2 linked regions of the Rhinolophus ferrumequinum genome follow. The main gene of each other region encodes a partner of the protein of the gene in region 2 in a complex. Links are inferred from orthologs where the notes say so. Each region holds a gene or a part of one and is shown on either strand. Other genes may lie near its edges.

What was found. The genes of interacting proteins can lie anywhere in the genome.
Region 1: the proteins of TUBGCP3 (region 2) and TUBGCP4 are in contact, whole or in part, in a cryo-EM structure (PDB 7QJ0), measured with the Homo sapiens proteins. The link is inferred for Rhinolophus ferrumequinum from reciprocal best matches to the Homo sapiens genes TUBGCP3 and TUBGCP4. Residues at the interface, in NP_006313.1 of Homo sapiens: Arg252, Asp253, Tyr256, Gln259, Ile261, Asp262, Lys264, Arg305, Ser312, Leu313, Arg315, Leu319, Gln322, Ser323, Cys325, Ala326, His329, Arg333, Tyr336, Arg337, Ser340, His343, Ser344, His424, Pro425, Tyr593, His595; in NP_001273343.1 of Homo sapiens: His35, Pro36, Ser37, Glu38, Ser40, Val41, Arg44, His116, Leu117, Ser118, Ser120, His121, Tyr124, Phe125, Asp127, Gln128, Leu131, Pro134, Lys159, His160, Cys162, Gly163, Gly164, Leu165, Pro166, Arg169, Leu630, Ser631.

The regions. Positions count from the first base shown.
Region 1 is NC_046289.1:62,429,703-62,437,285, forward strand, and holds the start of TUBGCP4 (gamma-tubulin complex component 4), read right to left. Parts: upstream 3,092-7,583; 5' UTR 2,873-3,091; coding exon 2,795-2,872; intron 1-2,794. Other genes in the region: ZSCAN29 (zinc finger and SCAN domain-containing protein 29), read left to right, coding at 4,317-4,634, 5,120-5,324, 7,085-7,583. UniProt on the Homo sapiens protein: Component of the gamma-tubulin ring complex (gTuRC) which mediates microtubule nucleation.
Region 2 is NC_046287.1:55,254,476-55,261,498, reverse strand, and holds the start of TUBGCP3 (gamma-tubulin complex component 3), read left to right. Parts: upstream 1-3,960; 5' UTR 3,961-4,190; coding exon 4,191-4,266; intron 4,267-5,755; coding exon of another isoform or gene 5,756-6,097; intron 6,098-7,023. Other genes in the region: 60S ribosomal protein L34-like, read right to left, coding at 5,756-6,097. UniProt on the Homo sapiens protein: Component of the gamma-tubulin ring complex (gTuRC) which mediates microtubule nucleation.

The DNA.
Region 1 (7,583 bases), on a different chromosome or scaffold from region 2:
ACTTATTATTTTCTGGGTTTTTTTTGTTTTTGTTTTTTTGAATAATAGCCATCCTAAAGGGTATGAAGTGGTATCTCACTATGCTTTTGATTTGCATTTCCCTAATGATTACTGATATTGATCATCTTTTCATTTGTTTATTGGCCACTATATATCTTCTTTGGAGAATCAACCAACTTACTTATCCCAGGCACTGTGTTAACGTTCTGAAATTAAATATTGAACAAGATTAGATATAGTTGCTACCCCCAAAGAGCTTAGCATATTGCACATTCGTATAGTGAGTATTGTATTTTGTGGATGCCATCTTTCTATGACAGTAAATGTGGTAATAAATAGGCAAAGAAGAATTTTTCTGTTTCTGAGTCCATAATAATTTGATTAGGAATCCCCTTAATGTAGATTTTAATAACACAATGATAACCATATCCACAAATTAATAACTCAGAGGCATCATGATGTAGTGCTTAAGAACCTGGTCTTTGGAGCCAGGCTGTCTGGGTTTGAATCCCTGAGTTGCCTCTTACTTGCTTGAAATCTTAGGCAGATTTCAATACCTCTCTATGCCTCAGTTTTCATACCTATAACGCAGCGATAATAATTGTGAGGATTAAATAAGTTATGACATGTACATCACATGTGCCAAGTACATAACAAGTATTCAATATATGTAAGCAATAGTTTTATTATTGGGACAGCTCTACCCAGCTAGCAAGTGATACTCCCATTAAAACTGGCATTTTGAGCAGTGCTTTTTGGCACAGTTTTAGAAAAGCTGAAGGTCTAGTTATTCTATAACAGCAAACAATACCTTGAAGTTATTGATATCATTTGGTGTAACCTAGTTATATGAACAGGCATTCTCTACGTTAGAGTTACTGAAGTCAAAACAGAAAATATAAAGCCAGATCTGTGGCAAAGTCATTCTACTATTAAATTCAATGTTGGTGATTTAGTTTCAGCAAAACAACAGTATATGTCACATTATATCACTGGTTCTCAATCAGGGCCAATTTTGCCCCCCAAAGGAAATTTCGTAATGGCTGGAGATATTTTTGGTTGCCACAACTCGGGGTATTACTGGCCTCCTGTGAGCAGAGGCCTTGGATTTTACTAAACATCCTACAATGCACAGGAGAGCCCTCCACAACAGAGAATTATCCTGTCCAAAATGTCAATAGTGCCAGTGTTAATGTGAATTGGTAAATTTGGTAGTTTTGCTTACTTTGTAAAAATATTTGGTTTTATAGCTGTTCAAGAGAGCAATATGCTTGAGTTTATACTTAGCGTAATATGTATACATATTCAATATGACAATAAAATGATTTTTATCAACATTGGGCATTCATGACAATTTTCCCCTTTATTCAATGTGAAAACCACTGCTCTGCAGAAAGTATGCAGTATTTACTGGTTTTGGTGGCCTTTTTTTACACAAATATCTACTCTGTGGCACAAACTGTGCCAGGTGCTTCTGGTACATCCATGAAGACCACTGTGGTCTTTGCCTCCATGGGCAATCTGTGCAAGAAAAAGACTAGGAAGAGGTGACAACAATAAATAATATGACTTGTGGTTAAGTCCTCTAAGGGAAAAAAACAAGTTGCTGTGATAGAAAATAATGGCATAGGGGAGGAGGATACTGAAAGAGATGGTCAGAGAAAGTTTTTCTGAGGTGACTTTAAAGCTGAGACCCTGAGGAAAACATCTGATGGAAACTTTTTTATAAGAAAGGAAGGCAGCTATCTTTTCTATATTGTTATCTCTTTTTACTTCAGATCATAAAGCACACACAAATACTTCCTGAACATTTTCCTCCTATATGCCTGGCATTGTGCTAGTTTTACAGGGGAAAATAAATAACAATAGGAATCTGTTTGGTTTATAGGTTTTATAGACTAAAAATATAATTTTTCTGCTCTTCCCCAGCCTATTCTGCCAAGTCTCATATGAATAGGCATGACTGTCATTAGACAGAGCTAGTTACAACTCTTGCCATTATCAGGACTAACCACCAACCATAAAAGTTCTCTGAGCTTCAGTTTGCTCATTTGTAAACTAGGGCTAACAATACCTAGTTACTAACTTATCCAGAGGATTAGATAACATTACTGGAGGCAGAAGTACAAGAGTAGTTCAGATACTGGCGCCTGACAGACCTGGGTTCAAGGCCAAGCTTGCTCATTACTATCTGTGTGGAGTTAGGTGGTTATGAAGAGTAAATGAGATAATGCATCTAGTACACAGCCCTTCCTCCTCATGCATTCCTGGTTACAGGAAGGCCCCCTTCCAAGTTCTCCTATTGCACAAATTTCCTGAGAAATGATCATGAGGGAAATTTCCTGAGAAATGATCATTCATTTTTTTTCATGCAACAAAATTGGCTGAACCTTTATTGTGTGTTATCCTCTGGTCTAGCTTTCAAAACTCAATTTAAAACAGTGCAAGCGAGAAAATGGGAGAAAGTGCCTCCTTCACTTTTACATCCAGTTGCCCAGCAACTCGCTCAAACACCTCAACTTGAAGCGGGATTCGGGGCTCCCTCTCTCCCTCCCCGAAGGCGGGGTCATTCTGGGTCTGCCCTCCGTTTCCCAGCCTAAGCCCAGCCCTCTCAAGGTGTTACGTCAGCCGTAGGCCCCTCGGGGCACTGCCCTCCAGTACCTGAGCAGGGCCATTCCCCCCGCCCCTCGGCCCTGCAAGGCCCGCCCCCTCAGTCCCTCAGAATTCCCCCACGTTTTGGCTCAGGTCTACCCATTCAGCTCCCGTCAGTTTCCGCGTTCTGAGCCGGACAGACCTGAAGGCCGCTCCGCTTGTTCCAGGTGAAAATGGACCCTGGGTACCCGCTCAGAGCCAAGAGCAGTTCGTGGATCATTCCCACGCCGGATCTCAAGTCCCTATATACGTCGCTCCCTCCTCCAGCGCCTCTCCAGGCGACCGCAGAGTCGAATGCTCCCTTCTGGAAACGTGCACAGGCTTTTGGGACCTACGGTTCCTCCTGAATCTACCCGCCGCGACTGCTGCGGGAGGAGCGCACAGGGAGCGGGAAAGGGGTCCACGCGCCGCGTCCGGAAGTGCGCCGGCTCTGCTGGGTTCCCCGTTAGCTCCAGCCCCGGCTCCGCCGGAGAGTCCTGGTAGCTGCCTTTGCGCATGCGCCCTCAGCGCCTGAGTCACCCACTCGGACTTCCGGTTTTGGAGCTGGACTAGGAGGCTGGATTGCCGGGCCTGGGGCCGACCCCGGGTGGGTGAGGCTGGCCCGCGGACATAGATGCGAGTGGGTTGAGGGACAGCCCTAGAGGGAGACACTCCCGGGGATGGACCGGAAGGTGCTCTCAGAGCCTTAGCCGGGTTGGGGGCCTCTGGAGGGGACTGCACGACGGCTCTGAGAGTGACCTGGCCGGAGGGAGCGAAGACAAAGAGGCCGGAACCCCGCACCAGCCGCTCCTAGAGCTGAACTCCGCGCCCGCTAACCTCGCAGCACTCGGATCTTCCGGCCGGCACCCGAGCTCGTCCTCAGGAGACCCATTACTACTACCCCCTCAGAATCCTCCTCTCCACCAACTCAGTGCGACTCTCCCCAAGCCCACCCGGCCCTCGCGTCAGAAGCCAAAACCAACTTCTCCCAATGCGCGAGGTCTCCCGTCAGTAGTTCCCGAATGTTTTGCTGAGCGGTTACTTCTGCTGTGAGGGAAAACAAAGACCCGAGATTCAGTACTTGATTTTTGTCTGGGGTGGGTATTGCCAGTTGTGGTGTCCAAGGGGGCAGGGCGGACGTAGAGGGCCTCGGGAAGCACTGCGGAGGTACTGGGTGAGGTCACCTGCGACCCGCGGGACACAGGCTTTTTGTTGCCTTGAACACGATGGTGACTTGCCTTTAGATCCTCTGAGCTCCAGGTTTCCCATATGGTTCAAACTCATTGTGCAACATTGGTTAAGGGAGCTAAGTGGGATCAGATTTGGGGGAGGTGGAAGAGGAGCAGACAACTCTTTGCTGCTTCCCCGGGCTCCCCTGGGAAGTCGCCCAGAAATGCAGCTTTTGAAAGGTTTCTCTCCATGCTGTTTTGGCTTGCTGTCCTGGAGTTGATGATGCCTCAGATGGCCACATGGAGCATATATATGGAAAGTCGGGCCAGCTCTGGCAAGACTTTAGACATATGAGTATATTCCTTCTGATAGTGCCCTCTCTCTCTACCCTAGGAGGCCACTCTTCTTAAAGAGAGAGAGACTCATCTGCAGGTAATTCTCCAAAGACATGGGAAGATAGGTGTAAGCCCTGGAACCCAGACCCTTAAGTGGAGGGAAGCTGCTTTCTGCTGTGAATGATGGCCAAACCCACTCTGAGAGGAAATGGCACTAACTCGGAGACCTACCGACAGCGCTTCAGGAAATTTCATTACCAGGAGGTAGCTGGGCCCCGTGAGGCTTTCAGCCAACTCTGGGAACTTTGCTGTCGGTGGCTAAGGCCGGAGGTGCGCACCAAGGAGCAGATTATAGAATTGTTGGTGCTAGAGCAATTCCTGACCATCTTACCTGGGGAAATCCAGAAGTGGGTACAGGAGCAATGTCCAGAAAGTGGAGAAGAGGCTGTGGCTCTGGTGGAAGATTTAGAAAGAGAGCCTGGAAGACCTGGACGTTCGGTGAGAAGGGAGGGGGAATTCAGAAGTGTGTGAACTGGGCTGGGGCAAGGATAAAAGGCCAAATTAAGGTATAGACAGGTTTAAAGAGGGGCATAATCTCCCGTGGTGATGCTTATACTTCTGATCCTGGAACAGGTAACTTTTTCAGACACAGATCATCTAGAGAGGCTACTTGGGTGTACCTTTGGTACCCTGTCATAATGAATTATTCATAGTTTCATAGTTTTTTACTTAATAAGGAAGAAAGTGGACTTATTTTTCTAGCCTATAGTTGGGTTTACTGTTTTGATCTTTTCCTTCCGGAATTCCGGCTGCTCTAAGCTAACAGTAACAGAATAAGAATGACCCTTGTTCACTATTAACACCCCTCACCCAACCCTAGCCATGTCCCAAGAGGATGGTCTCTTTTGGGGTATTAAATAATCTCCTCTGGGAATGCCCCTCATTATGACCTTGCAGTGACAATTAATGGGGGTTGTTTCTAGGTCACAGTCTCTGTGAAGGGGCAGGAAGTGCGCTTGGAGAAGATGACACCCCTGAAATCATCACGAGAGTTATTAAGTGTTCGGCAGGAGTCAGTGGAACCTCAGCCCAGGGGTGTACCCAAGAAAGAGAGGGCAAGAAGCCCAGACCTGGGACCGCAGGAGCAGATGAACCCAAAGGAGAAGCTCAGACCTTTGCAAAGGAGCGGTGAGGAGTAGATTCATATGGGAAGATAGGATGCCATTCTAAGTTGGGAAGTAGGGTTGGGAATAGTGAGTGGGAAAGGGATTTCAAGAATGAGTGAAAATTGTAGAGTATGCAGTTTTTGGGGACCTCCTGAAGGCATGTAGTTTAGCTCTGCTGCAGTAAGTATTCTTGTTATTTCCTCTTTTGATAAGTCTGCCAGAGGATGGTTCCCTAGTTTCTTTCAGAACTCGGAACTATTTTATTTCCTCTTGGTAATGATACTAGGTCAGTATTTTCTAGGTAAAAATTATTTTCTATATTTGAAGGTACATCTTTTAGTCATTTTCCTTCTCCAAAATAAACTGTATTTGTTTCTTTAAACTTTTCGCCAGAAGCTCCATTATTCAGACATACTGTTTTTGTTACTCTCCCTTGGAAACTTTTAAGTTCTCCAAATATGTTAATTGTGGAGAACTAAATTAGATATATTATTCCAGTGAGGGTCTGGTAGGTTGAGGCAGAGTAAGAATTTTACTTCAAAATTTCACTGTATTTTCTTTCCGAGTAGCTCGACTAATTCTTTGATGATTATTGTTCACCTGGTAACTCCCAGGACTCTCGTAGCCGTCCCCATTGTCTTTGTGCCTAGCGCCTATTCTTGTACATGACTGCGTAGAGCTTGTTTTTCTTCTTTGTACTCTGTTGAACTCCAAATTGTAAGTTTTTTACTTTGATCATTTCTTTAACTTATTGAGGTTGTTCTGAATTCTGACCTTATCGGCCAAAACGCCAGCCTTTTCAGCCAGTTTGGTAATGGTCTGTTTAGTCATTCAGATGCATTCCCTCAACCACACACACACAGACTTGCAGAATTAATCAGTTTTTGAACACCTATCATGTGCTCAACACCTTGCAGGGTATTCTGCAATAAGAAAAGATGCCTATCCTCAGAGAGCTTACAATATGATTGAGAACTAAACAGCAAATATAAATATGTGCTGAACTGAACTGTACTGAAACAATGTCAAACAATGGTTTGTCACTCAATTGTGTGAGTATAACAGAGTGGGAGATAAGGGAGGGCTGTAGGAAGGCTTCAAGGGGGCTTTGGCAAATACAGCTTCTTGAAGTGGGTTAAATTGGGATAGGGGAAGATTCTGATATGAATGGACAGTGCATAGTGGGCACTCAGGTTAAGGTCCAGCAGTATAGTACGTATGTGAGCTGAGGAAGCAAGAGCCTGGAGTTTGGTAGAACAGTGACCGTTATCTGGGTGTGAGAAGGTAAGACTTGGATGGTGGCAGTAGGAATACGGAAAGGGCATACTAAGGGAAAAACCTTTAGAACTTAGTGACTGAGTGTGAAGGAAACAGATGGGCTGAAGACCATCTTCCTTCTGTTCCCCTTGAAATCACTATGAGTTTAGTTCTCTAGCCCCAAGTGGAGAACTACAGGAGACAGGAGGTGGCTGTTCCCAGCAGGGCTAGGACCTGCCTACAGGAGGCCAGGAGGGCTAGGGAGCACCTTGGAACAGAATTACCTGCTCTGAACATACCAACAAAACCTTTTCCTCTCTTGCTACCCTGCTTTGGAAAATAAAATAGTTCTCATTTTTTGGTTTCATGTATTTTTCCCTTTCTTCAACCCACTGAACTTTCTGAAAATATTTCCTTAGACACTTTCTTTATAAGTCTCTTGGGTAAAAAAAGGCAGGTCTGAACTCAAAGATGTTTTTTATGGTCAGTCCAAACTATGATATCCTTTGTTTGCTTCCCTGCAAGCAGGATTTCCATTTCCTAAATCCGGTGTGGTCTCCAGGTTGGAGCGAGGAGAGTCTTGGATCCCAGATGTAGGCTCCAAGGAAAAGGAACTGCCAAGAGGCAGTCACACAGGAGACAGACGAATGCATGCTGATCTGTTACCATCCAGGAGAGAGAGAAGCTGGGTGGAACAGGATCCCTGGGGCTTTGAGGATGAGAAGGTGGCCGGTGTGCACTGGGGCTATGAAGAGACCAGAACTCTCCTTGCAATTCTCAGTCAGAATGAATTTTATGAGGCTCTCCGAAACTGTCATCGAAACAGCCAAGTATATGGGGCTGTAGCTGAGCGGCTGCGGGAGTATGGCTTCCTCCGGACCCTGGAACAGTGTCGGACCAAGTTCAAAGGTCTCCAGAAGAGCTATCGGAAAGTCAAGAGTGGCCATCCACCAGAGACCTGCCCTTTCTTTGAAGAGATGGAAGCCCTGATGAGTGCTCAGGTCATTGCCCTGCCCCGCAGTGG
Region 2 (7,023 bases):
TGGAAACCCTAGCAATAAATAGGAAAAGTGTCTAAGAGATACATTGTGAGTAGTACGTTTATTTCCCATTGTGGGTATTACTGGGTTCAAGGAGCTGATTTTCCCAATTTCCTGACCAACTTTCCTTGGGATCTGGGAACGGGAAAGTGAAAAAAACTCCTGAGAACGGGTGGGAATTCCCACCTGGAAACCCTCGTCCTATGTCTGCATAACATAGTGCTCAAGCAACGATTTATAAGATTTTCATCCTCTGCAGATGGATTCCTATGTGGGTTGGAAATATTCTCAAAAAGTTCTCATTGTCTCCCTTGGACTTCACTGCTTCACTAGGATCTCTCAAGTCTCCACCAAGTCTTTCCCACATGCTTTCCTGCAGGTATTTGATCTCAGCCGTTTGTTTGCTCTCTCCATTTGTTGTCTCTCTCCATTTGTATTAGTCAGGTTTCTCTAGTGAAACAGAATCAACAGGATATCCATCTATATGTGTAGCCCTCTCCTTCTCTCTCATTTGTCTCTCTATCCACCACTTATCTGGTAAGAGAACGAGACTGATGTAAGAACTCAGCTTACGGCTGTGGGGGCTGGTAGATCCCCAATCTGCAGGCTATGTTGGCAGCTGGAGACCCAGGGAAGAGCCAATGTTGCAGTTCAAATATGAAGGCCATCAGCTGGCAGAATTCCTTCTTGCTTGGGGGAGGTCGGTCTTTTTGTTCTATTCAGGCTTTCTTCTGATTGAATGAGGCCCACCCACAGAAGAGAGGGTATTCTACTTTACTCAAAGTCTACTGATTTAAATGTTAATCTTATCTAAAAACACCCTCACAGAAATGCCTAGAACAATGTTTGTCCACACCTCTGGGTACCGTGTTTCCCCCAAAATAAGACCTAGCCAGACAATCAGCTCTAATGTGTCTTTTGGAGCAAACATTAATATAAGACCCGGTCTTATTTTACTATAAGACCGGATCTTATCTAACATAAGACTGGGTCTTATATTAATTTTTGCTACAAAAGACGCATTAGAGCTGATTGTCTGGCTAGGTTTTATTTTTGGGGAAACACGGTACTGTGGCACAACCAAGGTGACACACAAAACTAACCTTCACAGCATTAAAATCCTGGCTAGTCTGCCACTTGCACAAAGTCGGAACGCCAACCTTGGCCTACTGAGTGTCACTCTATTCATTTCCTAACAAGCCCCCCTTAAATGGTGACCCACGACTTTTTACCTCTTGCCCCACATAGAACCTGCCCTTTCTGGGGGGCAAAGCCAATGGGTTGGGCAGCCAGTCCTATCCTGGGAATCCTGCTGTTTTCTCTGATCAAGCTGTGGAGTGGGGACTGGAGCAGTCCTGCCAAGAAGACCACACACACCCTTTGTTCTCACTGGAGGCTTGATCATTTTTTTCAAAAATAATGTGTCTCAATTTGTGGTTTATCTTTGGTTGATTTCCAGTTCCCTGACTTGGTTCATTTTGACAAATTTGTCCAGTTTTATAGTTTTTTTGTTTGTTTTCTTCTGGAGAGGAGTTGCTTACATCTTCACCCACCATCTTTAGAAGTCCCTCCAGCTTCATGTGTTTAGAAGCTCTGTCATTAGGCACACACACATTTACAATTGTTGTGTCTTCCTAATGAGCTGACCCTCTTATCATTATGAAATATCCTTCTTTATCTCTGGCAATACTCATTGTCTTGAAGTCCATTCTATCTAATGCTAATGTAGTGACTCCAGCCTTATTATACTCATTGTTTTCATGGCATCTCTTTTCTCCAGATCCATTTACTTTCAATCTATTTATATGTTTATATTAAAATGTCTCATATACAACCTGTAAATAGGGCCTGCTTTTTCTTAAACTTATTCTGATTATCTTTGCCTTTTAATTAGAATGTTTCATCTACTAACATTTGTTGTAGTTCTTAATGTGGTTGGATATGTGTCATTGAAAAAGTTTGTTTTCGGTTGTCTTCCTTGATTTTTGTTTTCTCTATCTTTCATTGCTTCTGTCCACTGGCAAAAATAACTCTCCAGATAAATCCACAAGAAAAACGGTTTATACGGGAAAAGGAAAAAGAAACAAAAACCACCACCACAGTGTGGGAACTCACACCTCCAGCACAGGCCTCCAACCTGCTACCTACCTGAAGAAGGAAAAATAATGAGCCCGGTTCCAAGATGGCTATTCTATTTATTAGCATCCCTCCCCCTGAAGTTACCACAAAGTTCAACAGGAAGTCAGTGCTAGAGAGTTGACAAGGGGCCCAACTCCACCCACAGTCCTCCCAGCTCCATGGTTAAGCATGCCAAGATGTCAGTTCACTTTTATCACTTCTTCTGGATTATTTTCATCCTTTGGAATTCTGCTTTATTTGCTGAGGAAAATAGCCATTGTGATTGCTTTGGGAAATCAAGGAAAGGCCAATTTTTGCATACAGAGAAGGAGAGGTTCTGTACTCTGTTTAAGAAGGTTCAGGTGACTTGGAATTTCATGTTTTACCCAAATGTCTCCAAATGAAATCTCAGGATCCCACTTCTCAATTAATGACTCACTCTTAACATAAGAGACTTTGGCAGGACTGTGTGTTCATCTTGCATCATTATTTACATCTTGAACAATTAGGTTTAGAGTCTGGACCTCAGTTCTGACTACTCTGCAGTTATGAAAATAAGAGATTTCTTTTAGGGCTGCTATGGGAGCTCTGCAGTTCTGTGGCTGTAACTTGAACAAGAAATGTAAAGACCTGAGCTTTCTGAATGTACTCCAGTACAGTCCATCCTACCCTATAGTATCTGGAGTCATCATTACTGCCAAACTATCTGACTGTAGCAGCTACTTAATTTCCCAAGGTCTTGCTATCTGCCAGTGCTTTCTTCCAAGCAGCCACACATGATAATATAAGCTATTTTGGTGCTCCAACATGCCATGGATTCCATCTTCAAAAAGACCCCAATGTATTTGAGTTCAGACATGTGAACAACCCAATCTTGGATTCCTGTCTGAGGATCTGTTCCCTGGGATCACTCCTATTACCAAGGACTGTATAGGAGGGACCAACCTGCAAAACAGAAACGACTCTAACAATTTCAACATAGGGGATTTAATACAGGGAATTAGTTACATAGGCGGTTGAAACAGATGTGAAGAACTGAGATTAGCAAGTGCAGAAAGTGGCTACTTTTCATAGGGCTGAAGATACAGCAGTTGTTACTATTGCCCATATTCGAGTAAGATCTGTGATGGGAGTTGTAGAGAAGAGGTTGGAACCAAAGAAAGGTTTGACTGTAGCTGTGTGGCCTGTACAGCTCCTGGCTGGCTGCCAGGATCCTACACCTAGACCAATTGATGTGTGGATTGGGTCATTTGTTCCCAGATTGGGCAGTTCTCCTCCTGCACTAACCTGTAAGCGGCCGTTAATTCTCTTTAAAACGATTTGTAATTACCTGTTTGTTTCTCTCCAGGCCTTTCCCCTCTTTTACTCTTTATCTGAGTGATGACCATAGTTATCTGAGATAAGGAGAGAGAGGTATAGGGCTAGGGGATAGTAAGAAGCCACACACTGCTCTTATGAAAAACTAGATAATGTAGCAGGTATCGGTGCTCAACCAAATGTTAAAAATCACAAAGCCCTTGTATTCCTTTAAAGACTTCTTCCACTGAAAATGTGACTCGAACCAATGACTTTCTAAAAAAATGACGGACTATAAAGGTGCTACTGGACACCAAGCACTTTCACAGCAAGTCAGTGGCTGTCCGACCCTCGGGGACGTTTGGGGGTCTGCGTCTTCCTGACCCTTGGGCAGGTGTGGGGGCATCTGAGTACCGCGAACAATCCGTGCAGAGAGCGGCTCATGCGCTTGGTGCCGGAACTCTCAGGGCCTGGCGGCGGTGATCGGGGGAACGCGCGCGAACGCGCCGGGAACTCTTAGGCCAGCGCACGGGAGGCTCCGAGCGCCCGGAAGAAGCGGGGCATTGTGGGAAGGACCCGCAGTTTCGGCGGGTTCCGTTAAAATGGCGCCCTTGTCATCAGTGATGCCCGCGGGGCCTTAGCCTATTGGGGACACCGGGAGCCCGCAGGGCGCGGAGCGGGTGACGGGCACGGCGGGGTCTCCTGAGCGCGCCAGGCTCGGGGCGATCGGGCTAGGGCCCGCGGCTCCACGGGGTCCCCGTGGGCAGTCCCGGGAGAGGATGACGACCCCCGACCAGAAGTCGCCGAACGTCTTGCTGCAGAACCTGTGCTGCCGGATCCTGGGCAAGAGCGAAGGTAGCGGGGTTAGGCCGGGCAGCTCGAGATCCGAGGCGTGTCCTGGAGGCTGCTGTCTGCGCGTGCAGCGCGGAGGGGTCCAAGGGACTGGCGGGGCCGAGGCAGGGTGGTCCCCGGGTTCTGCAGGCCGGCGGTAGTGGAACCGCCGGCCAACGGCGTGCTGCAGCCTGTGGAGTGGAGGGATGGGAGGGTCGGGGTCCCTCAGGGCGGAGGAAGGAGGGCAGGACCTGGAGCTGAGTCACCGCTCCCTCCGCGCTCCGGTTCCGAAAGTGAAGCCCGGGAGGACATCAGCTCGCGAACGCGTCCACCTTCCCTAAAGTCACAGGACTCCGCAGGAGGCTTCCGCGCTTATTTGGGTGGAGAGAGCGGTGGACTGGTCCCCAGGCAATATACTGAGGGTGATGCTGCGGAGGGAGACGCCAGGTGGTGGCGAGCCACATCATTTTCCTTTTTCCGTTAGGAAAGTATAGCAGATTTGCATATGATGCGAAGGGGTATTTAAGACTTGAACTTGCCATATTTTTCTGCTGTAAAGAGCTGAGGGTTGGATTTGGTATAAAGCTATTACTGGAGAGTTCACATATCGAATACTGCTACCAAAACCCAATCCTGTGCAGTATGTAAAGCCATTCCGTTGTTGTGGTACTTTTGAAAAATGGCACTCCGTGTCGTTTCTTGATACTTGCTTTGGCGGGAGAAGGGGGAATGGGGATGCACCGTGAAAGAATTTTCTGGGTAATTGAAGCAACTGGATTACTTATTCCTTGAGGACCACAATGTGGAAAAGAAGTGCAGTTTTACGGGAACACTTTAAACAAAATTACATTTAAAACATTTAGGCTGTATTTTGACCTTTCATAACTCATGACAATTAGCGTGTCTAATTTATTTGATGTTGTGATAACCTTAGGAGAAAAGATGAATTTTTTGGTACTCCATTAAATGAACTGGTTTCACACAGTTCTTGCTACATTTTATGAGGTTTCGCTGTCACTTTATTCATCTAACAAATCTTTGGACACTCTCACCTTCACCTCCCCTCCAGGCACTATGCTAGGCGCTGGTGATGGAGAGATACACAGACAAATCATTCCTCTAATCTTATATTCTAATGGAGGAGACGTGATAAAGTAGGTGAATGTTTAATGTTAGTGATAAGTGCTGTGATTAAAAAGAAAGTAACCTTAAAGGGATATTGAGGGAAGAGGTAAGGGAAAGCCTTTGAGGAGATAATGTAAACAGACTGTAATGGAGTGAGGGAACATTGGAGAGGGTACAATGACCTTAAGGTGGGCATGGACGTGGCATGCTGTCATCTGTCTTTGTGTCTGGCTCTTCTGTATGTGTTATCTGTAGCCCTCTGAATTACCTTTCTGATTTGATGTTCTTAACCATGGGAGAAATCAGAGAGCTAAGATTGTTGATTATACATCCTTTTTTGAAAGTCTTTTAATTGTTTTTATTAAAAAAGATTTATTTATTTAGCTTTCTAACTTTGTGCTTGTGCCTTCAATGCTTTCACGACGATTTTCTGCTCCTCAATAAGGAAAGCACACTTGATCCTGTCATGGACACATTTAGCACACATGGATTCATCATAGGCCCTGCTGACATGTTTTTTCATTGTAGACAACCTTATTAGAACTTTAGTTCCAACAGCACCAACGCCACGAGGTCGGTCTGGGCACAAGCCACATGCAGATTTTGGTGCTTTCCCAACCTTCTTGGTATAAAGGTAAACAATTCTGTTACCAGGAGTTCTAGACAGCCCAGTTTTGTTAGAGGCTGTATTGCAGGACAGCCTCTGACGGTATGTCAGACTCTGGACCATTCTGAATGCCTGTAGACACCGTTCCTGGAAGAGCATGGCACAATTACATTCAGATCAGGGTTTTCATTGTACCAGTGGGTTCTAAATTTTCCTCCAGGAATAAACCACACATCCATTCCCATTGTCACACCTGGACTTTGAAGACCATTCATTGTGATGTTTCTCAATGAAGTGTGTGTGTGTGTGTGTGTGTGTGTGTGTGTGTGTCTGTGTGTGTTTTAATTTTAAGCTCCTTTTGATTTACTTAGTTTCACCCCTTCTAGGAGGTTCAAACATTCTCTTCAGCAGAGTTCTGTACCCTCCTACCCCTATTTAGAATTATGTCTAAGTTAAGAGTAAATAGGTGCTCTGAGATCCTGAGGGGATCTCTCTGAATAAAATATATCATAAAATCCATTAAAGGTCATGCTCTTTTTGCTCTGTTCTGGACAGTTAGGACTAACAAACAATTATGTTCATAATTCCAAATTATGCTACTGTTTACTGAAGAATTTATAAGTCATAGCTTGCCTTGTTCTGTTTTAATTTGTTCTACCTTCATGAGCGAAGGAACAGTATCCATTGCTGCCGTTAGTGTTTGACATTTAAAAAAAAATTTTATTAATGGGTATTTTATATGATAACTAAGTAGAACATTTAATTACTTCATTTTCTAATGACATGTTACAAACAATTGGCCTTACGCTTTTGCAATTTTATTGCTTTTTTGTATTATGAAATCGAGGCATAATAGATACTTGTTACTTTTAATCTCTTAATGTGAATTTTCTGTGAATCAATTTTTCATAAAGTATTTTTAAAAAATATTTTACAGTTGAAATTTTTCAATGGGACTGTCAGAAGCAAAGCACCTAACTATAATGGTGCTTGACATTTTTATAAAGTTACTATAACCATTATTTCCCACCTTTCCCAGCTTCTAAGAG